Notamacropus eugenii: one gene and its partners. The protein of the gene in region 2 purifies or fractionates together with the protein of the main gene of each other region. This does not show direct contact. Links are inferred from orthologs where the notes say so. Each region holds a gene or a part of one and is shown on either strand. Other genes may lie near its edges. The genes, in order: ARPC3, ARPC1A and ARPC2.

Region 1 (7,439 bases), on a different chromosome or scaffold from region 2:
GTTGAATGGTTACCTTGATACCTCACTCCACAAAACCACTTTTTACAAAATGAAAGAAAAAGAATATAGACTTACTTTCTCTTGGAGCTGGTCCTTTAAATTGACTCCTAATGGGTAAAAGTGCCATGTTTCCAATGAGTTTGGTGTCGGGATCCATGAGAGAGGAGTGGTATGCCTGCAATTTCAGTCATGTAAGAATACAAAAGGGGCAGGGAGATAAACACCATAGAATCATAGAATCTCATCCTGAGAAGGAGACTCAGAAGTCATCAAGTAAATATGTCTAGCACTCCATCATCTAGCCTTTGATGGTGACCTCTAGTGGGGTGAAGGGAACAAGCATTTATATACCACCTACTGTGTGCCAGTCAAGGTGCTAAGTGCTTTACAAATATCTCCTTTGACCCTCATAACAATCCTGGGAGATCGGTGCTATTATTTTCTTCATCTGTTAGGGATACTGAGGCAGAAAAAGGTTAAGTGACTTGCCCAGAGTCACACAGTTCAAAAGTGTCTGAGGAAGGATTTGAATTTGGGTCTTCCTGATTCTAGACCTTGAACTCTGGGCACTGTGGCACCACCAGCTCTCTCCATTGAAAGGAACCACTCAACCTGTGGAGAGTTTTAATTGTTGGAAAAATTTTCTTGACAAAAAGTCTGCCTCTTCAGTACTTCCACCTCTTTGGCCAAACAGAATAAATCTCAGACCTTCTACATGAGGGTCCCTCAGACATATAAGGAAACCAGCCCTCCTCCTCCTGCTCTTCTCCAGGCTGAACACTAGCAGTTCCTCCCCCTGATCCTTGAAGGACAAGGTTCCCTGGGCACCCACGTCACCCTATTCTGGGTGCTCTCCAGCTTGTCAGTGTTGTTCCTAAACTATAGACACCATGCTCTCAATGTGCAGGGCAGAGCTCAGCTGACCTAGACTCTCTTGGGTCACAGCCACTGTGACTTACTTATTACCCGTAGAGCCTAAAAGAGAATTTGTTTTTTGGGCTGTTATATCACCCTGGTGACTGATAATAAAACCCCCAGATCTTCTTCACACAAAGGTCTAGACATTTTGTATGCAGGTCAATGATGCATCTTACTGAAGAAAAAAAGACAACCCACCCAAGAGAAAGAGTTGCTGATACTTCCTGGTTAAAACATCTTCACAGGATCAAAGATTATTAGGGCTGGAAAAGACTCTAATGATCACAGAGCTCAAAAGCCCTGGAGGGAGGATTACAGAGGGAGCCACTGAAGTCCAACACTGGGAGTCTCTGAACATCATTTGTAAAATAGGGACATTAGGATTTAGAGGTGATGGAGATTCTATTAATCATCTAATGCAAGTCTATAATGCAAGTGTACAATCTGCCTCTATAAATCCTAGTGCTGGAGTCCTTGGAGGAAAGAGCTTTGGAAATCTGGACTCACTACAAAAAGAGGAGATGTCATTCAGGAACAGGCCTCTCACAGCCACTGTGAGTGACAAGGAGGCTGTAGGTGCGGTAAGCGAAGGAGCCCGAGAGGAAATCTGACAAAAAGAGGGAGAGAAGACACTGAGAGGAGCTTCGCCATCCAGCCAGAGTCTGGAGCTGGGAAAGAAAAGGAAAGGCATACAGAAGCCGAGAAGGGAGAGTATGAGGTAGGGGGGCTGGGGGGCCCACGGCACACTGGAGCTGCTCTCAGAGGGCCTGGGTCCAAGTTCCTGATTCACATCCGACTCTCTGTGAGGCTTTGGGGAAGTTACTTCGCTTCTATGTGAAATGAAAACATCTGACCCCAGGAGGGCTGGCCAAATCTCTTCTGTGTTTCTATTAAGGAGAGGCAGTTCTTTTGCCTCTCCAGCCCCAGCCCCCTTATACTGGCCAAGCTGGACCGGCTAAGGTCCAAGTTCCCGCTCTGTGCACCTCAGTTTCCTCATCTGTCAAATAAGAAAGGTGGACTCGAGGACTCCCAGGTTTGGCTGCAGGAGGAGGCAGCCACCCTCGCACCTCTCAGCACCTTTAACTGTCAAAGGAAGGGGTTGGGGGGAGAATCCCTCCATCTGGCCCTGACTCTCCATCACCACCAGGAGCTGCTCTCTCCCCCGTGCCTCAGTTTCCCTGTGTCCCACGAAGGACCTGTTCTTTATATATGTTCATATACGTTCTTTGGGCTCCAGCCCCAAGTCAGTTAGACAATTAATCCCAAAGGACAGAAGGGTCTTTAATGTTCGTAGCCCTGTTTTCCCACCCATCAGAGCAGGGAGCCGGGCTCAAGGATCCACCTGTGACCGTGACCACCAAGGGAGGCGGCCGCACTGGGGGGTCTCCAAGCCCCCACCAATGAGGCCCTCCGCCCTCGCCGGGCCTCAGTGTCCCCGCCTGTCAAATAAAAGGGCGGGGCTGCTGGGGTTCCAGGCCTCCATCCCACACCCACCGCGCTCTCCCCTCCGAGGCCTCCGTTTCCTGGTAGCTCCGGGCGGCGATCTCCTCGCCCCAACTCCAGGCCGGCTACCCTACGAGGAAGGCCTCGGGGGCTCCCGTGCCTCAGTTTCCCCACCTCGCAGAGGTCTTTGCTGCCAGGTCCTCCCCCGCACACCAGACCGGCCTCCCTCCCCCAAGGCCGGACCCCCACCCTGGCCTCCTCCGCCGGCCCCCTCGCACTCCTCGGGGTCGCTCCCGCCCCCGGGGCCCTCTAAGGCCTCAGCCTCTCCCCGCGCCTCACCGGCATCTTGGCGGCCGGGCCTGGGCTTCGGGCGAGCAGAAGATTCTGGTTCCTGTCAGAGACCCCGATACTTCCGGTCTAGCGGCCGGGTGGGGTCTAACCGGAAGCGATCCGGAAGAGACAGAGGCGGGAGGAGGTCGCGCTTCCGGTGTGGCCGCCGGGAACACTAGAGGGAGCCAAAGAACTAGAGCTGCGGCGCCGAGCTCGCCTGCCCGTGCGCATGCGCGAAGGCCCCCCCGCCCAGGGCTTGGAGCTCCTTGCAGTGGCTTCTGAGGCTGCGCACCACAACGCCGTGGGCGGGGCGGGGCGGGGCGGGGCGGGGCGGGGCGGGGCGAGCACAAGCATCCCCTGTTTTAAAGAAATTGGCCCCACGTGGTGCTGGCCTTGGGGAAAACGAAGGTGTGGGTTCGAATCCTGCCTCTTAGGGAATGGGTGACCCCGGGCAAAAGTCAGTTAGCCAACCCCTCTGGGCCTCAGTTTTTTCATCTGTAAAATGCGCGTTTTATTTTCTTATTTGAAGAAAATCATCGCTGGAGAACACAAGTTTCTTAGTATTTGGGGCTTCATTTCTTAGTGCAGCTGGAGTATAAAGAAATACAATATATGAACATTTTTATAATGAGAAGTTACATATATTTTAAAAGAATAAAAGTCTAAAAACTGCACTTGGGGGTCTTGGGAAGCAGAAAAGAGGTCAAGATAAAAGGCCATAGGAAAATGGGTGGAAAGAGTGTGCTTCTATGTGGCTGGATGAGGGAAGAGCCATGGAAGAAATGAAAGGATTGGGAAAATCAGATGAGGAGGGAGGGGCCCACCCATCTCATCCCACAGTTCATCATGATTTTTGGAGGTGGGGGTGCCTCACCCCCAAATCACTATCCTAATAATTGTCCTCAACTCACAAGAGCCAGAACCTAGGTGTGCATTTTTCAGCTTATTTTAAAATGCACAATGCATCTTGACAGCAGGGAAAAAAACCAAAACACTTCATATTCACACACAACAAAAATATGTTTAATATGCAATTTAAACTAAATTGTCAAAATCTGTAACCTTTTAATGCAATAGACCAGGGGGTTATTAACCTGGGGTTTGTGAACTTATGTAATATTATGAAAACCATATTTCAGTATTATTGTATGTTCTATTATTTAAAATCATTATTCTGAGGTGTCTATATGTTTCATTATACTGCCAAAGGGGTTCATGACACTCCCAGACATAGACTGGTCATTATATTACCTTGGGATAAAGTCAAAGAGGATTGTATTTTTTTTTTTTTACTAGTTTGACATCAACAAAATTCCAGATAAGAAGAAAAAAATCTAGGACTTGTGACTTAAAGAAAAAAATCAAAGCCTCATTGATTACATCCTGAGGAAATCATCCCAAGACCCTCCTCTGATGTCTCAGCCTAGTCTAGTGGGAAGCCAAATTGGGTTTGAGAGCTACCTCACTTACTAGCTTTGTGACCTTCTGCAATTCATTTTACCTCCTTTGGACTCAATTCCTCATCTGGAAAATGGACTTGGTGACCTCTAAAGACCCTCTCAAGGTTATGCCAGGGGACCTCAAGCTCTGGTAGGTCCTTGTCAAGCTGGGGTGGTTTTGATTATGGTCCTGGGAATGGTCTCTAAGTACATTTTCAAGGGTTATCAAGAGACTCACCACTGGCTTGGCAGCTAGGTGTTCTGGGTTTTTCTTTTTGCCCCAACAACTGCCCCAGTCACTGGACTGATGAGACTATAGATCATTGAAATGTGTTAGATAAAATATTTAGGTAACATGCTATCTTGGGTACTGAGAAAACCTAAAATCTGAATGACACAAAATACGTAGGATATTATTATATAAGGATATGAAGCAGTGGAAAGAGCACCAGACCTGGAGCCAGGAAGCCCTGAGTTCAAAATTTAGCTTCAGACACTTACTAGCTGTGTAACCCTGGGCAAGTCATTTAGCCTCAGTTTCTTCATCTGTAAACTCAACTGGAGCAGGAAATGGCAAACAACTCCAGTATCTTTGCCAAGAAAACCCCAAATGGGGTCATGACGAACCAGACACAGTTGAAACAACTGAATAACAACATGCAAATTAAATTTGGCTACCTAGTGGGTGTTCATTTAAGCAACAAGAGCATTTAAAAAGGGAAAAAATAGTCTCGTCCTTAAATATCTACAGTCTCCCCTGCCTTGTAACTTGGGCACAGAAGAAAGCTGCAGACCATCTATTTTTTCTCCTTAGGATGTTACTGAAGACTCCAGATATTGCTATCTGCTCCCCAAAGATCTCTGGGAGGTACACAAATACTGCCCAAAATGTGAAATCCGGGGCAAGTCATGGCCATGAATATCCCTCTGGGCTCTAATTTTATGATCCCAGCACAACTGATGTGACCTGGGACAAGGTTGATTGGCCACTAAGGTCCTCTCCAATTGTGAAATTCAATTCTTTGAATTCACTCCATCATTCTGGGCTTGTCTCCTCATAGTAAAATGGGTGGATGAGGTAAGGTGCCCTCTATATGACCCCTGAAGGCACCTTGCAACTCAAAAATCAATTATCACCATGAGCCTAATAGACATTACGCTTAGGTCAGGAAAAAGGCTCAGCAGGAATTTTAGGAGAGGCTTTGCATTTCCAGCCTATGAATTCAGGGGGCAGCAAGTGTGCCACAGAATATGGGATTTGTAGCCAGAGAACCTGGGTTTGGGCCTCAGATCTGAGAGACCTTGGGCAAAATGATCCATTTTTCAGGTTCCTTCACATGACCTGCCACTTACAAAGTTACAAGGGGCAGCATGCCTGAATGCCAGCCTTTGGCCAGTGAGCTCCCTGAGGGCAGGGACTGGTTTTTACTTGGATAGCACAACACCTGACCCAGAGTAGTTGATAGCCTGGCCAGATTAAGGAAGTCTAAAAAAGAGATGAAACAGCAAAATCAAAATAGTTTTTTAGATGTTCTGCAATGTCCGCCATGTTTTACTTGGCCCACCTCAAGACGATGATTCTTCATTGTTTTGGAATCACTACATTTCAACTTTCTTCACTAAGTTCAGAATTCTATAAGTGTCCTGCCTCATTCTGACCTGGTCGTCGTCCTTCCAGCGGCCATGCTGGAAGCTACCCTTTCCTTCGGGGGAAGGCACGCAGAAGGTCTTCCCTCCTCTGAATTCCGTTTTTAATAAATTTTTCTTGATAGCTTTTGTGTGTGTCAAGTTCATCCCTAATACCAAAAACTGCCCTTGGTAGGAATTTGGATGAGGTAGCATGACATGGGGCAGAGAAGTCAGAAAGACCTGGCTTCCAACACTGCCTCTGTCACTTGGTGGCTGTGTGACCCTGGGAAAGCCATTTAACCTCTAAGGAAATTCATTAACATGGTTAAGTTACACACAGTTGTCAATTTGAAAATGGCACAGGGTACTTAAGTCTGGCCCAAAAAGGCAGGGCGGAGGGACTTCCAAATATAATTTGGAATATGAAAGGGCTACGGACAATTCAGACATAACATTTTATTTTTTATTATAAAAGTAATTTCTAAGCAGTCCATTCTGAGAGAGGGGAACAGAATCATTTTTCCAATAACGAAACCACAGGAAAGAATCTCTGAGGGAGGAGAACCCTCAGGCCATCTGGCCCAACCTGAACCAGTAAAAAAAATCCTCTCTATCACACTCATGACCTGCCTTTGGGGGAAGCCCTGCAGACTGCCACCTCCCAAGGAGCCCTATGCCATCTGGGGTTAGCTCGAGCTGTCAGGAAGTCTTTCTTTCTTGAAGTCAAGCTGATATCTCCCTCTGTGCCACTTGTACACCACAATGCAAACTATCCTTCCCCCAAAATGGAAGTAACAAACAGCAGCACCAAGGGTTTGTCTGTAGCCCAGAATTTGTCTTCCCTTAACAAGTACTATACACCCTAGAGAACTTGGGACTTCATTTGGAAACATTTGCCAATGGAGATTTTCCAAACTATTCTTTTTCTTTGGCCAGGCTGGGGGAAAGGAGAAGTGGCAATGTTCAGATTGTGGATTAGCCATACTCTTTCTGCTTTGGAAAGATGAATTCTCCATCCACTTCTCCCTGAGGCTAAACATGAGTCTTTATAAGATTCTGCCCACAAAGTTCTTCATGCTTTAATAAACACTGGAAAAATTAAATATCTTCATTCATCCCCACGGTCTTGAAAATAATCATCCAACATGGATGATTTTTCTTCTTCAGATTCCTTTCAACAAAGAAAGAGAAAGTTTAATTACTTTTTCTTAAATGTCTTAAACGTGCCAACAGTGGCACTTGTAGGTGGACATTTCAGGTAACGATTAATAATCAGCTAATATCTGGCAAATATTCAGTGTTTTGGAGCCAAAGCAACTGACAAAGACCAGCTATTGAGACAGACATAGTTCCTTGTAGAGAGGGCCCACGCACAGATCCTAGAAGTGCCAAATCACCTGGAAAAGTCTACTAGGTATGGGATTCCAGCGTAGACGCAAGAGAGGCCAGAGAGACAGACAGGAGACAAAGGCCTTTTTAGTCTTCTCCAGCTAGTCTGCTCGTGATTTACATAAACAGGAGCAGGATAGGAGGAAGTTAAAGGTAATTTCCTCATCACAATTTTGTTCATCTCCTTTTCCTATTTGAGGAAGTAGAGCTTTGAGAACACTTGTCCTAGCCAGGTGGGATATCATAAGCACTAACAAGTGAAACGGCTCTCTGACCCATTAAGTCGGAGCT
Region 2 (8,036 bases):
TATGCATACGTGCATACATATATGTGAGTGAAAACCTGGGCTTCCCTGGGCATGTCTACTTCTCCCAACATGAAGATGACCTTTTGAGCGTGCCCAGTTTGCCTAATATGGAGGCCTTTCCATCCTTTACCATGTGAGTGGGGGTAGTCTACTTTGAATGGCTGCCTATGATGAGACTGATGAGACTGAATATTAGCTCTCTTTTCAGTGTCTCTAGAGGGTGAAGATCCTAGCTCACCCACAGCAAACCAGAAATGGACCGGGGGTTGTGTGTTTCTGTTCTGCCTTGCTTGTCCTCCTGAAATTTAGTTGTTGCAGGTAATCCACACGGAACCTCGGAGTTCAAGCTTTGGTCACCTTAGAGCCAGGACTGCAGTCAAGATGGTTTAGCCTGCATAAAAGTCCTAGGGCACAAACCAGAGAGGGGTTTTGGATTTAGAACTGGGACTGTGCTGTATAAGACCTGAGCTAAACTATAAATCTAATCCCTTTCCTCTCCCCAGTGACTGAGATGGTATAAAGGGGTATAGGGGATTATGCCTCCCACACATTGGGGGAGGAAGTTTGTATATTTGTGATTATACCTTTTCAAGGCAAATCTTCCTATGTAAAAGCTAATTTACTGTCAGTGGATAAATGGAACTGGGATGCTGGGGACCACTCCCCTATAATTGAGGGAACAACATCAGAAAGGGTTGGAATCATTTGCAGAGAGCCTAGATACCCTCCCACCCCCAATCTCCTTAAGGGTATGGGAAAACCTGGGGGAGAAGTGAAATGTAATTTACCTGGTCTTCAGGCAGTGGGGACCAGGTGGTATGTTATCTGTCTCCATCTTTCTACCTCTCTTTCTCTCTTCCCCCCTTCTCTCTCTTTCTCACACACAATCACATACACACAGTATGTATGTATATACACACACATATATGTGTGCATATATAAGGTGCAATGTTTTTTATCTCTCTAGTGTGTGTATATGTATATGTGTGTGTATGTCATGCTACATTTACTATATACCATGAAGTATGTATGTCATATAGTACATATACTATGTACATACTGCATGTGTATATACATATACTATGTATACAGTACATATACAATATATACTTAGTATATATAGATGTGTATGTGTGTATATTATACATCCATATGCTGCATTTTTTGTGTCTCACTGTAATACAAATACAATACTCGTAGCCGCTGCTATGAATATGCATGTGTATTTCAAGGGTAAATTCACAAAATATAATAAACTCTCTTCCTCAAAGGCAAAACCAAAATATTTATTTGGGACATCATTAGAATACCAGGAGGTAAGATTTAACAGGGTGCTTATCACTAATCCAGGAAGCTCAGACATCTTAAACCTTCTTTCTGTCAGGCCTCCCCACAAAAACAAGTTCCCCTAGACAAATTCCTCCCTCTGCCCACTCATCACTTGCTTCTGTCTTTCTGCTCCTTGGGTCAACTGCTCCATTCAGCTTGTTTCTCTCTCTCTGCTCTGCCTGATCTTTGTCTCTGCTCATTCTCCTCTCTCTCTCTCTCTCTCTCTCTCTCTCTCTCTTTCTCTCTCTCTCTCTCTCTGTTTCTATCCACTCAGGCAAGCTCCTCCCAGTCTGAGCTTGATGTGACCCAGACCTACTGTGCACACAGTAGGGCTCCATGTGTTAGGCTTATTAATGGGCAAGGAAATTCTTCCTATTCTATTAACATTACACTCACATACACATATACGTACATATACATTAAAAATCCACATAAACAAAAACTCTTGGTAGAGGAAGGGTTCTCAATTATTTTTAAGAGTATATGGGACAGCCAGGTGGTGAAGTGCCCTGGAATCAAATCAGGATCAAGATGGCTTTGGAGTCAGGAGGACCTGAGTTAAAATCTGACCTTAGATACTTACTAGCTATGTGATCCTGGGCAAGTCACTTAACCCCAACTGCCTCAAAAAAAAAAAAAAAAAGAGAGAGAGTTTAAAGGGAACATGAGACCAAAAAGTTTGAGAACCACTAGTGAAGTGCAAAAAACCATCAAACTTAGTCTGGGAACCTAAATTCAATACTTGGCTCAGCCACTCGCTACCTGTGTGATCTTTGGGCAATCACTTCCTTCTTGGGTCTCAGTCTCTTTATTTGTAAAGAAGGCTGTACTAGTCAATCTCTAAATAATTTCCCAGTCTGTATTCTATTTAATTTCCCCTATATATACTCAATACTTCAGTTATCAGGACTGATGAATAAAATAAATATCGGGTAAGGAAGAGTGATCCAAAGTATTCTAGGAAAATATCATAGAATGCCAGAATTTGACTCATTTGATCCTCACAACAACCTTGTGAGGGGAAGTACTATTATTATCCCTAAATTAGAAGATGACACTTAGATTTGCCCAGCATCTGAAGCTAAGGTTTAAGGCAAGATTTGAATCCAGGTCTTTTTGACTCCAAGTCCCAGGCTGTACCACCTAGTGGCTCCAAACCAGTGGTCATCTTGCCTCTGTTTGAAAATCTCTAGGGAAGGGGAACCAATTACTTTATAAGGCAGCCCATCTAATTGCTAGCAAGATTTTCCCAAGGTCCAACCTGTATTGTCCTCTTTTCACTACCAACTACTGCTTCTGGTCTGGTCCTCTAGGGCCAAACTGAAAAGTCTACCCTCTTAGCCATGACAGCTTTTCAAATACTTAAAAATAGCTACCATGACCTCACTGAGTCTTTTTCTCCAGGACATACATCTTCAGATCCTTTACAGACTCAAAACCCTTCACCATCCTAAATGCTCTCCAGTTGATCAATATCCTTTTTAAGCTTCTGTTGCTCAGAACACAGTAGTCCAGATGAGGAAATATACAGAGAGAGTATCATCTCCTTATTCCCGGAGGCTGTGTCTCTCTTAATACAGTTCAAAACTGCTTTAGCTGTCCACACTGGTGAAGCATGTGGAATTTGTGGTTCCTTAAAACCGACAGGGCAGCTAGGTGGCGCCATAGGGCCTGGAGTCAGGAAGACTCATCTTCGGAGTTCAAGTCTATCCTCACAACAGCTGTGTAATCCTGGGCAAGTCACTTAACTCTGTTTGTCTCAGTATCCTCATCTGTCAAATGAGCTGGAGAACTGCTAGACCTATTTGTAAAAAAAAAAATATTTATAGCAAATGTTTTTCATTGTGGCTAAGAATTGGAAACCAAGTTATGCCCATCAAATAGGGGAATGGTTAAACAAGCTGTGGCATGTGGGTGTAATGGAATATTATTATGCTGTAAGAAATGACAAGTAGGATAGTTTCAGAAAAACCTGGAAAGACTTACATGAACTGATGCTGAGTGACATGAGCAGAACCAGAACACTGTACACAGTAACAGCTACGTACAGTGTAGGAGGACTGTTTCTGGTAGACCCAGCCCTTCACAGCAATGCAAGGAACTAAAACATTCCCAAAGGACTTGAGGCAAAATGCCATCCACATACAGAGAAAGAACTATGGAACTGAAACGCAGAATGAAGTAGAATATTTTCTCTTGTGTTATGTTTGTTTTGGTTTGTTTTTTCTCATGGTTTCTCCCATTTATTTTAATTCTTCTAGGCAACATGACTAATGTGAAAATGTATTTAATAAGAATGTATGTGTAGAACCCATATAAGATTGCATGCCAACTCAGGAAGGGAGGGGGAAGGGAAGGCAAGAAAATGTAAGATTTATGAAAGTGATTGTAGAAAACTGAAAACAAATTAATTCTAAAAAAAGAAAAAGAAAAACTGGGAGTGATTTAGCTATTTTCAGCTATACAATGATCCAAGACAATTCCAAAGGACTAATGATAAAGCATACTATCTGTCTCCAGAGAAAGAACTGATATTAACTGAATAAAGACTAAAATATGCTATTTTTCAATTTTTCTTTCATTTTTTTCTTTTATTCGAGTCTTCTTGTACAAAATCACTAATATGGAAGCGTTTTACATAATTGCATATGTATAACCTAAAAAAAAAAAATTAGCTGGAGAAGGATATGGCAAACCACTCCAGTATTTTTGCTACAAAAATCCCAAATGGGGTCACACCAAGAGTGGGACATGACTGAACAATAATACAACCTATCTTTTTCCGACCAATTGCTCCCTAATCAAACGTCCTCCTACAACTTCCTAGGGCCTCAGTTATTTTACCTTTAAGACAGAAATAACATTTGTACCATCCACCTCATAGGGTAGTTGTGCTGGGTAAAGCACAACTTTATTATTTTTATGTATTGTGTGCAGGCGAGTTTTTTGAACCCAAAGTCTTAAGAATTTACATCTATTCCTACCAAATTCTATTTTAGTAGATTCAGCTCACTTCTCTCAGCCTGGATCTTTCTGGGTTCCGACTGGGTCAGCTGGGAGCGGGTTGGGATTCAGGGAGTTTTTGAGGAACCGAAGGTAATCCAGGTGGCTTGGATATTAAAATGCCAAAAAGATGGGTGGGACTCAGACCGGGGAGGGCCGTGAAGCTCCGGCTTAAGGAAATCTGGACTTCATGCCACTGCGATGAGCCACTAAGTGCCACGGGCAGATCTGCGCCTGGAAGGTTCCCCTGGCAGCGCTCTGAGCCTTCTCACTGTGCCCACACTGGGGCTTGGCTGGAGGAATGAATGAACCGACGGATGAATGACGGGCACGTCCGGCCCCTGAGCTTCGGGGTGTGACGGAGATGGGAGCCTCCGGCATTCCTCCCCTCCCAGCAGGAAGCCCCTCCACTTCTGCATCGCCTCCGGGAGGGGTCTACCATGAGGGAGGAGGGTCAGTGCAGCAAGCGCCGCCACTGCACATGCGCCAGGCACCGACTTTCCCAGCCCCAGCTCGATCGCCCCCCGCGCCCAGGGCCGTACACCTCCCCTCCCCCTCCCTGGACTCCCGCGATCTGCGCAGACCATCTGCGCAGCCGATCTGCGCAGCCTTGGAGGGGCGGGGAAGCCGTGCGGCGCAGGCGCCGTGCCCATTTCCGGGATCCCTGTCAGCCGCTCCCTCCCGGCCTCCGTCTTCCTCCCGCCGCCTGCCGGAGCTCATTCGCGTCGACTGACCAGAGTCCGCGAATCCTCCGCTCCGGGGCCCGCCCGCACCCTCCCCAGCCCAGGTAAGGGATGGCGATCAGCTGCTCATCTCCTCCCCTCGGCCCTTTTCCCAGCCTTCGGTTCCCCGGGACCCGGCTTAGGCCGCGGGGGGCGGGCAGACCCCGACCGCCGGCGGCTGAGGAGGTGGGGCGCCCCGGGGGTGGGGGGAGGTGGGCGGGCCGTTGTCTCTTTCCCGCCCCTCTCCCCCGGGCCTGACCCTCTGAGGCTTCGGGCGGTGAACCCCCTCTCCCTCCCCGTTCACTCTGGAGGTGTTCGCCCTGCTTGGGCTCCTGGAGCGGGTGCCCCCGAATACCCCTCCCCCCCACACCTCGTGCCCCGTTCCTCTCCCGGCATCCTCTTGGTTCTTTAGCCCCCCGGGTCCGGTGGGTCCCTATCTCCAAGCCCGAGGCCGAACCTTAGCCCCCCTCTCCCCACCTCTGCTGAGGCTGAGACTGGGCGTCGGTCGACTGGCCTCCTTCACCTGCCTCGCCCGTCCCGGGGTTGCAGGCGTGTCCTCGCTTCCTGCTGTGGGGAGAAGCCAGTGGAGAGTTACCCCCAGGGATCGGGTTCGCTTCCAGTCCCCTTCACTACCCTCACCTCGGGGCAGCCACCAGTCAGATCCTTGGGCACTTTAATTGAGCCAGTCAGAACTGAGGGACAGGGTGACCATGATCGTGATCATGCTGGCTGTTGTACCTGTGGGGTGGTAGAGACAAAAAGGAGTTTAAAAGCGTATCCCTGTTGAGACAGAGTGGGAGTTCCATCCGGTCTCTGTCATTGTGGGGGGCCAACGATATTGAAACACCTGTACCTAGATGGGTCAGAGAGAGCATTTAGACTAAGGATGAATCAGTTATAAGCCAGCCGGAGAGCTGAAATATTTTTCCCAAACTGAATTATCCCAGAACTGTAGACGTTAAGGATTATTACATTTTTAGATAGGAAAGCAAATGAGGTTAAAAGCTCCTGTCCTGGGCATTCTATTGAGAGGTGATGTATAGAAATCTGTGTTTCAAAATATCTTTTTTAGATCTGTTGCATGAGTATATGATAAATTCTGCTAATAGACATTAAGTATCTACTCCATATGAGGGGCTGGGGATACAAAGAAAAGTTATCCTCCAGGACTTTGTATTTTACTGTTTTGATACAGCAGGTACACAGATAAACAAATTCAAGGGAAATGAGGGGTCAGGGAAGACTTCATAGAAGAGGTGGTACCTAATTTGAGTCTTGAAGCAAAACACATTTTAAAGTAGAGTTGAGGAGGGAGTCCATTCTAGGCATCAGATTTTACAAATATTGTTTCATATTTCCATATCTGAATGACACTTTTCTTAAAGCAAACTGTATATATAAGAAAAAGAATTTTTATTTCGACCTACTTATATTCTTTCACCAACTAAAGAAGCATATTGTACGATCTGGGATCATAGATTTAGAGCAAGAATGTTCCTCAGAAATTCTCTAGTCTGAACTGCTGGTTTTACTGATGAAGAAACAGACTCAGAGAGGTAAAGTTTATTGATAAATTTTACAAAGGCCTTGAAGGTTTCTTCTTGAGTGCAGTGACCATACCTTATAATTCTTTGGTTCTGTGTTGGCATCTGGACTGTTTCTTCCTCTGCATCCCACACATCAAGGTCAAGGAGTTGGTATGGAAATATCAAAACCCATCTATATATAATTTAGTGGGTAGCTCTTAGAAAGTTGCCTGAAGCTTAGGCAAATTAGATGATATTAAAGCTAGAAGTCCTCCAACTTCAAGTCCAGCATTCTTTGGACTGTTTTACACTGCCTTATAGCAGGTGCTTAATGAATGTGGGTTGAATTTTTTGTTGAAATTTTTATGATGCTTGGTTTAGAGCTGATGTTGAGTAAGTGGTTGTTGAATTGAGTAGGCTCTCCTTTGTTCTTCCCAATTTTCTTCTCCCCTGCCATTTTCTTAGAGAAATATGGAGAAAAATGAGTTTTAAAATCAGGCGAGGGTGACTGTAATTCAGAAATTATAGCTTGGGAGCTGAGGACTGCACAAAGGCAGTGTGCTGGTTTGTTGGGTGCCCCCGCAGAGATAGCATTTGAGGATAAAGTTCTGGGTGTGGAATCAGGGAGTCCTGGGTTTGAGTCCCCATTCAGATATCTATTAGTTGTATGACTAGCTTCTCTGAGCCTCATTTTCCTCATCTGTAAAACAAGCAGTTTGAACTCAGTGGCCTGGGAAGTCCTTTCCAGCTCTAAATCTAAGATCTGTGTGATGAATGTCAGTTAATAATAAAAATAAAAGCTATAAATGGTGCTTTTCAGCATAATTACTATCTTGGGTGGTGGCTAGTATAAATATTATCCTCCTCCTAAAGCTGGGATAACTGAGACCCAAGGATGTTGTTACTCAAAAGCTCAAGTTTGAACCCAGGTTTCTGATTTAAGGGTCCTGTGCTCTTTGCAGCGTAATATTCACCTATAGAGATTGTCAGATATGGGAATTTTCTTGGTCTGCAGTCTTAAAATGAAGTACCAGGCATGAAAGTGTGTCCAGATTTGGAACTTGGGTAATGTGGCTCAATTAGAAATTAACTTAAAATTATGCCATTATTTGAATTTTACTTCTTTGGAAAATTACTGTAGCCTGGTTACACAAATAAGTCAAAGTTTTTGTCTTTGCAACTGTTGTTTATGACCATACGTGAAATATACACTTTTTATTATTGGCATGCACTTTAAAATACTAAATTTCAGTCTTATTTATAATCTTTATATGTCAGCTATTATTTCTCCCATTGAACATAAGCTTCTTGGGTGCAGGGAATATTTTGTTTTATGTCTTTGTATCCCAGGTTCCTGGAACATTGCCTTGTGCCTAGTAGGCGTTCAATAAATGTTTGTTGAATTGAATTTCAGTTAACAAATAAAACTGAAAATTATTGCTCTCCACTGAGAAAC
Region 3 (7,324 bases), on a different chromosome or scaffold from region 2:
GTTCACTCAAGGTGCAAATCTTCTTTTTAGCCTGACATGCATGACTCATCCTTCCGTTGGTGATCCTCTCCTCCAAGAAAGGTATAGCAAATTCCTCTGGGCAACCAGTGCATAGATCTATCAGTGATTCCAGACCTCTTAAGCCCACAAGACAGCTGCCAAAGATGGGAACATCCAACTCTCAGTATCACTGCTTGGTCACCTGGGATCAGGAAAAGAAACAAAGCAGAAGAGGCAGTCAGAGACTTGAGATCCAGTCCTAGGCTCACCCAATCAAGTATATAATCTTGCAGCCATGTTGGTGCAGTCTCCATAGCTGCTGCTAGAGAGGAAGGAGAGACACAAACACACTCAAGCTGTCAGTCTCAATCCACACATTCCCCAAGAATGGAAGAGAGACAGACAGAGAATGAGACACACACACACACACACACACACACACACACACACACGTCTACTGGTTCCCTTTTAAAGTCCAGCACAGAAGGGGAATACCTCCCAGGAGCCCATTATTATTGGGTTTTGCCCAAGTCATAGACTTAATCAGATGTCTGGAGGCTTCTCAAAAAGGTGCCAACTGGCATGTCTGTACCCTCTATAGAATCAGTCAGAAGTTTAGAACAAAAGCTCAATCCCAATAAACTCATCAAGTTGATTCCAGAGGGCCAAGACTAACCCCTACATTTGTAAAATGGGGATAATAAAACCTGTACTACCTACTACCTTTGTTGTTGTGAGAAGTTTCTTGTAAACATTAAAACGTAAATATGAGCAATTATTATTATTCCTAAGTGAGAAGTACTGACTGAATAGCCTGAGGAAAGAGTAGAAAGTCAATCCTGATGACTGGATACTTTGGCCCAGATAACGTAAGTATTCCTGAAGTCCCTAACTCTACCCCACACATTGCCTAACACATAGTAGACATTCAATCATTGTCTGGTGATTTATTTTCATGTAAGCACTCTGGATCTCTGGGTTTCTGCTTTCTCCTCTGTAAAATGATGAGAATGGACTGGACACTTTGGTCCCAGCAGTTACGGTAACCTAAAGTCTCCTTTAGCCATTCTTCATAAGCTCTTGGAGTTTCACTACCTCAGCTATAGAACTTTATTATCAGTTTACAATTGCAAACTCCTTGAGGGCAGAATTAGCTGCATTCCAGAATTCCTTATTACATAAATATTTGTGGAATGAACTCAATGTCTTCAGGCAAGAGGCGTTAAGAGGAGTTGGAATAGGTAGGACAAAATGAGACACAGAGGCTACCGGCAGATTTAACTAGAATTTTGTTTATATTTATATAGCACTCCATTTTACACACAGTGAAACAGGATTTAGCACAAGTTCACAAAGCACACACAAGATTTGAATCCACCAATTCTTCTGAATCCAAGTCTATTACATCAAGCTGATTTGTTCCATGTCACAGAAGCAAAAAGTGGTCTAGCTAGCACATTATGGTGCCTAGGTCTTTTTACTCCAAGTCCAAGTTTCTCCCTACTTCAGGAGTGTCCTTTCTGGGACTGTTTTCACATCTGGAAAACTTGAAGGGTTAAATGATCTCTGAGTTCCTTCCAGCTGTATGCTTCTCTCTAGGGGAGTGGATGCATAACCCACCCATTCAGAATAATTCATTTGACATTTATGATACATTTCTCTACAAAGCACCACACATTTCTGATAAGAGTAGCTGACATAGTTTTTAAAGCATACAGAATACTTAACATGTATTACATTTGATCATGCCATCTGTAAAATCAGCAAAGAGGTATTATTATCCCCTTTAAAATGAGAAAACTGAGGCTCAGAGATATTGAGTCAATTAATAAACCTTTATTAAGCATTTGCTGGGCTTAATTCTCGCTGATACAAAAACAAACAGTCCCTGTGGTCCAAGAGTTTGCATTCTATCAGAGGAGACAACATGCATTGTATAAGTATATACAAGACATATGTAAGGCACATGAGGTAACTAACCTAAGGCACTAGAAGTTAAGGGCACCAGGAAAAGTCTCCTGAAAATGGCACCTGAACTGAGTTTTGAAGGGTGTGCCAAAAGGCAGAGATGAAGAATAGTCTAGGTATGGGGGACAATCAATACAAAAGCAAGGAGACAGAAGGTGGGACAAGCAGAGAGGAAGGGACCATAGTGTGTGTGGAAGGGAATAATATCTAGGAAAACTGGAAAAGCAGGAAGGGGTCCAGTTGAAAAGAGCTTTAAGTCAAACTAAATTCACATTTGATCCACTGGAGTTTGAATGTGTATGGGGGGGAGGGGTGTTACATGATCATATCTGTGGTTTGGAAAAATTCCTATGGTGGCAGATGAAGGACTAAAGTGGGAGGGGCTTGAGGCAAGGAGCTCAGCTAGGTCCATAGTCAAGAACCTAGTAACCCAGTTATGCTTCTAATACACCATAATGTTTCCTTCCATGTCTCTTTACATATATATACGTTCCTTATATATTATGTTCCCTTAATGTTTTGATACACGAAAAGTCTCCCCTGTCTTGTCACAATCAACTGCACATGGTAAGCCAAAATCACAGGATTTCAGGCTGGAAGAAGTCTTAAGGGAACATCTAATCCTATTCCCTTGAAGTCCCTGTGAGGCTGTGCAGGACCAGAATGCAGGCCTTTGTTTCTGCATCCAGTACTTTTCCCAATCCTCTTTCTGGTCATTCCTTGGTCCCTTCCCTCAAGGATCTCATAGACCTAGCAGAAGTATAAGACTCAAGTTCAGGATACCTTACACAGCACATCCTATATGATGCAATTCTAATACAGGGACTTTCTGCAAAAGGTGGAAAATGTGTCATGAGGTCTAGGAAGAGAATCAAGGAAGACTCCCTGCGCACTCTGATACCTTTTGGTAAAAAAAAAAAAAAAAAAGGCATTAGCAGGCTGTGACTTCTGAAGAAGGCATTAGATACTAATTAATACTAAATCCTTAATACTAAAGACTAGTAATCCCTTCATTTTATCTATCCCCCACCCACCCACCCATCCATCCATCCATTCATCCATCCATCCATCCACTTCCCCCACCCTCCCACCCATCCACCCAACCATTCACCCACCCATCCATACACCCACCCCCCCATCCATCCCATCCATCCATCCACCCCTCCACCCCCCCATCCATCCCATCCATCCATCCACCCCCCCCATCCATCCCATCCATCCATCCACCCACCCATCCATCCATTCATCCACCCATCCATGCACCTACCATCCACCCATCCATCTATCCATCCATCCACCCATCCATCCATCCACCCACCCATCCACCCCCCCATCCCCCCATCCATCCATCCACCCACCCATCCATCCCCCCATCCATCCATCCATCCCCCCATCCCCCCATCCACCCCCCCATCCCCCCACCCATCCATCCATCCATCTTTGTACACAAAGAGAGGGGGAGAGAGAGAAGGAAGCCACGTAGGGCGGGGGCCAGGGCACCCGAACTCCAGTTAGGAAGACCCAAGTTAAAATCTAGGCCCGTGTGACCCTGGGAAAATCAGCTCTCACGCTGCGCTCGCCTCAGTTTCCCCATCTGTAAAACGGGGATGATCCCAGCAGCTGCCACCGGGGATCAGAGGATATTTGTGAAGCTCCCGGGGCGCAGTAAGCGAGCTTTTCCTGTGAAGAGGAAGAGAGGCCTATTTGTATTAGAGACCGCGTTTTACACGCCTCTCGCTGGAAGCCGGCGGCGGCCAGCCCAGGGTCAGGGAAGGCTGGAGCTCGGCTCTCTCTTCCAGCCTCCAGGCCGGGAGATCGGGGCGCTGGTCACCCGGCGGCCTGGCCGGAGGGGAGGCCCAAGGTCCGCCGCGGCACGGGGCCGCTCCGGCTCTTCCCGCATGGGTTCCCCGGGCCGGCGGGCGGCTAAGCCGCCGCCCCGGAAGAAGGAACCGGAGAGCGCGCGGAGGCGGCGCTCCGCAATGACAGTTGGAAGGGCGGGGGCGGCCCCGAGGCACGGTGGGAAAGTGGAGGCGTGCGTGCGTGCGTGCGCGCCTCCGAGCAGGCCGCGGAGGGTGGTGCTGGCGGGCGTGGCCCGCGCGCGCCAGGCTTGGGCGTAGCGGGGCGGAGACCAGCCGGCTCGAGCCACCGGTGCGTGCACCCGCCCGCTCCCGGAGGCTGGCAGAGAGCGGGGGGGGGGGGGGGGGGGGGGGGGGGGCGGAGGGGATGGGGGGAAGAAGAGCGGAAATAGAGCCACGGGGGCGCGCGCCGCGGCGGCGAGCGGAAGTGGGTGTGAGAGCGGAAGTGTCCGGCTAGAGCCGGGGCTGGGCGGGGACCGGGGGCGCTCGGTGAGACGGCGGCAGCGGCAGCGGCACCGGCGGCTGCTCGGCGGGCGGGTGCGGGCCAGGTCGCCGAGGCGGGAGGACAGGGGAGAAGGGCCGGAGCCGCTGCGCGTGTGTGGAGGCGTGCACCCTGCCCCCTCCCCCCTAGCCCCGCTCCCTCTCCCTACCTCCCGGGTCGGGGGGCAGCCTCGCTGCTCCCTCCTCCCCCCCTCACCCGCCCTTTCTCCTTCCCCGGCCCGGGGCAGCCCCCTCAGCCGCTGCCGCCATGATCCTGCTGGAGGTGAACAACCGCATCATCGAGGAGACGCTCGCGCTCAAGTTCGAGAACGCGGCCGCCGGGTGGGTGAGCGCGCCGGGGGGGCCCCGGGGTCGGGAAGCCCCGCCGGGAGGGGCGGGAGGCGCGCCGGGTGCGGTGGGGGAGGGGGAGCAGCGACCCCGTCCCGGTTCTGGGGGAGGGGTTGCGGGAGGACCCGGGGGACCCCCAGCGCTCCCTCCCGGGGCAGCCCTGCCGCCGGCTCCACTTTGCCGTGGGCAGGCAAACCTGCCGCTGCCGCCCACCCGCACGCCCCGCACGCCCCCGGCCTTGTCTCTCTCTGAGGTTCTGCCCCTTCCCCCCCCAGCGCCTTCGTCTGGTGATGTCTCTCCTTAGAGCCTGCTAGACCCCGGCCCGCCCGGCCTACACTCTCCCCCGCTCTGGTCACGTTACTAGGTGACATTCCTCCCCTTTGGACCTTTTAAAGTGGGGCTTGTCCTGTAGGCGTCTGGTAAACGTGGGGTGGATAGCATCTCTCCAAGGCAGGCACTTCTGAGAAGCCGCCGATGGCAGGAAGCTACCCCCCCCCCCCCACGAGAGAAATCAGGTTGCTCTTAATATTTAGAGCATCTGGCCAGGGAATTGGGTTCTAATCCTGTGTGACCTGTAGCATCTGTCTTTGCGGACCTGTGTCCTCGGCTGTGCGACTCGTTATCTGTTTTATGGAGGAAAAAATGGGCAAAGAAATCCCCTTAGGGACTTAAGGACTAAAAATGTCAGGTTTGAGATTCACGGAAGAAATGCAGTCGGGAGATAGAAGCAGTTTAAAATAAGCTAATTCGAGAAGGAATGAAAAGAAGTATTTTCAACCCCTTGTTTCAGTCTAGTATACTATGCACGGTAGTTTGTCCATACAGCGAGCCCGTATGTTTTATCGTTATAAAGCACAGCATCTATTTTGTGGTTGTTGAAGTGATACATAAAATGAATATATGTGCCTCTGAAGGAAATTCTTCGGTTTAATTATCAGATGGTTAGTTTCATGCCTTCAGTTTTCCCTTATAAGCCGGTTTTGCATTTAAAAGTTGTAAGCGAATCAGCTCCAGTTCTTATTTGGGTGACTGTTGTACCTTGAGCAGTCTAGCATATAGAAGGAAGTTGAATTAACTTCTGCATTTTTACAGCTGATCTTAATGCCATCAGGTCTTGACAGGCTTGAAGCTGAAGCAGGTTGGTTATGTGTAGATGTGTGTGATGTGTGTGTGTGTTCGTTCAAGCAGGGGCATGTCTTGTGGTGAAGGAATGCATTTACTTCTAATTACGTTTTAATTTATGATTGAACCATTCCATTATTCAGATTTTAGCTTTTTATTTTTCTCTTAAAACTACTGCTACAAATGGCAGGTGGTTGTTTCAGAGGGACCAAAACAAATTGGGAATACATTAAGTAGGTAACTAAGCATTGATCACAAAGATGAGGTGTAGCACAACATAAGTTGACTTTTATTGAGCAATATGACTTAGGACAAATGGGGTGTGGAAGGCAGCCAGGATCAAAACTGGTAAGATTCTGCTGAAATGTTTAGTGAAAATGATGGAAAAAATGATGGATAAAAAAGAAGTGTATCCTCAGGCCTCCTAGGATATAGGTTCTCTGAGATTGCCAAGGCAAGCACCTCCCAAATAGCACCTCAGACCTACTGTGCATTACCAGACATACTAGTGGAGTGAGATGACATGAAACAGTAGAGTGGTTACTCTGACTTACGTCTTACCAGAACTTCCAGCAAAGACTGCCGCCTATAATTGCCATAAACGTTTATATTGTTCTAGCAGTGCTTTTAACCACAGGCAGGACAGAAAAGAGACATGTTGTGGGGAAAGAACTCCTAGACAAAATTACAAGAGTTTGGAAGGATGGTCTTTTGAAGTGCAAGGTCAGAGAAAAACACCTAGAAAACTACAGGTTGGGATTCTTCTTACTGTTTATGGGGAACTCCTGATTCATAGCCCTTTCCAAAGTGTGAATCTTGTATTTGGACTATTTAAACACAAGAAACACCAGAAGAACTCTTAGAAATTCTTATTCAAAATTCAGTTATCCTAATTTTCCCTTTTTGTGAATCATTTTTCAGGTCACCCAGTGCTTATTATAATGATCTCAGAAAATATCTGAATTCTCATCTCTTAGAGCACTGTTATCACACAGTTTAAATGAACACATTTGAGTAGTAGAAATTTTTTAATTTGGAGGTCATGCAAATAAAGCCCAACATTCACTCCAACCAATTTACCTTTCATTATTATTAATTTTGTGGATATTGGCATATTAGAGGCAACCAAATTTCTTCCCCAAATAGCACACTTTTATCTGTAAGTGGTCATCTTCTTGATAGCCTTTAAACTAAGATGACATGACTGGCTAGAAAGTTACAGCCAAATTATTGTGAATATCCATGAAAATTAGCATAGATTTTTTCATCGCCTTTCCCTCTACTATTCTGGATGTTGGGTAAATGGCATTTTTCAGGTCATATCTTCCCATCCTATCAAGCAGGATTGCCCTACTTTTGGAGAGCATCCTTTGCATGCAGGAAGGGCTTCCAACCCAAGTAGAGATTACACAGCAAATATTTGTCTATTCATCGTTATATATACCATGAGAATCTTTTAAGACTGAAAAGTCTGGCTTTCAACTTGCCTGAAGCTTGAGTCCAAAATTTAGAAAATTCTGTCAGATGAGGATGGCTAGGGTGGCTGTTGA

The links.
Region 1: the proteins of ARPC1A (region 2) and ARPC3 purify together in Homo sapiens (affinity purification with mass spectrometry; 8 studies listed by BioGRID and IntAct, counting the BioPlex papers as one, with this or other methods). This does not show direct contact. The link is inferred for Notamacropus eugenii from reciprocal best matches to the Homo sapiens genes ARPC1A and ARPC3.
Region 3: the proteins of ARPC1A (region 2) and ARPC2 purify together in Homo sapiens (affinity purification with mass spectrometry; 8 studies listed by BioGRID and IntAct, counting the BioPlex papers as one, with this or other methods). This does not show direct contact. The link is inferred for Notamacropus eugenii from reciprocal best matches to the Homo sapiens genes ARPC1A and ARPC2.

What each region holds. Positions count from the first base shown.
Region 1 is NC_092875.1:35,944,426-35,951,864, reverse strand, and holds the start of ARPC3 (actin-related protein 2/3 complex subunit 3), read right to left. Parts: upstream 3,019-7,439; 5' UTR 2,707-3,018; coding exon 2,701-2,706; intron 176-2,700; coding exon 76-175; intron 1-75. Other genes in the region: GPN3 (GPN-loop GTPase 3), read right to left, coding at 6,868-6,930. UniProt on the Homo sapiens protein: Component of the Arp2/3 complex, a multiprotein complex that mediates actin polymerization upon stimulation by nucleation-promoting factor (NPF).
Region 2 is NC_092874.1:379,957,432-379,965,467, reverse strand, and holds the start of ARPC1A (actin-related protein 2/3 complex subunit 1A), read left to right. Parts: upstream 1-4,944; 5' UTR 4,945-5,119; intron 5,120-8,036. UniProt on the Homo sapiens protein: Probably functions as a component of the Arp2/3 complex which is involved in regulation of actin polymerization and together with an activating nucleation-promoting factor (NPF) mediates the formation of branched actin networks.
Region 3 is NC_092877.1:316,739,496-316,746,819, forward strand, and holds the start of ARPC2 (actin-related protein 2/3 complex subunit 2), read left to right. Parts: upstream 1-4,222; 5' UTR 4,223-4,572; coding exon 4,573-4,646; intron 4,647-4,927; exon of another isoform or gene 4,928-5,016; intron 5,017-7,324. UniProt on the Homo sapiens protein: Actin-binding component of the Arp2/3 complex, a multiprotein complex that mediates actin polymerization upon stimulation by nucleation-promoting factor (NPF).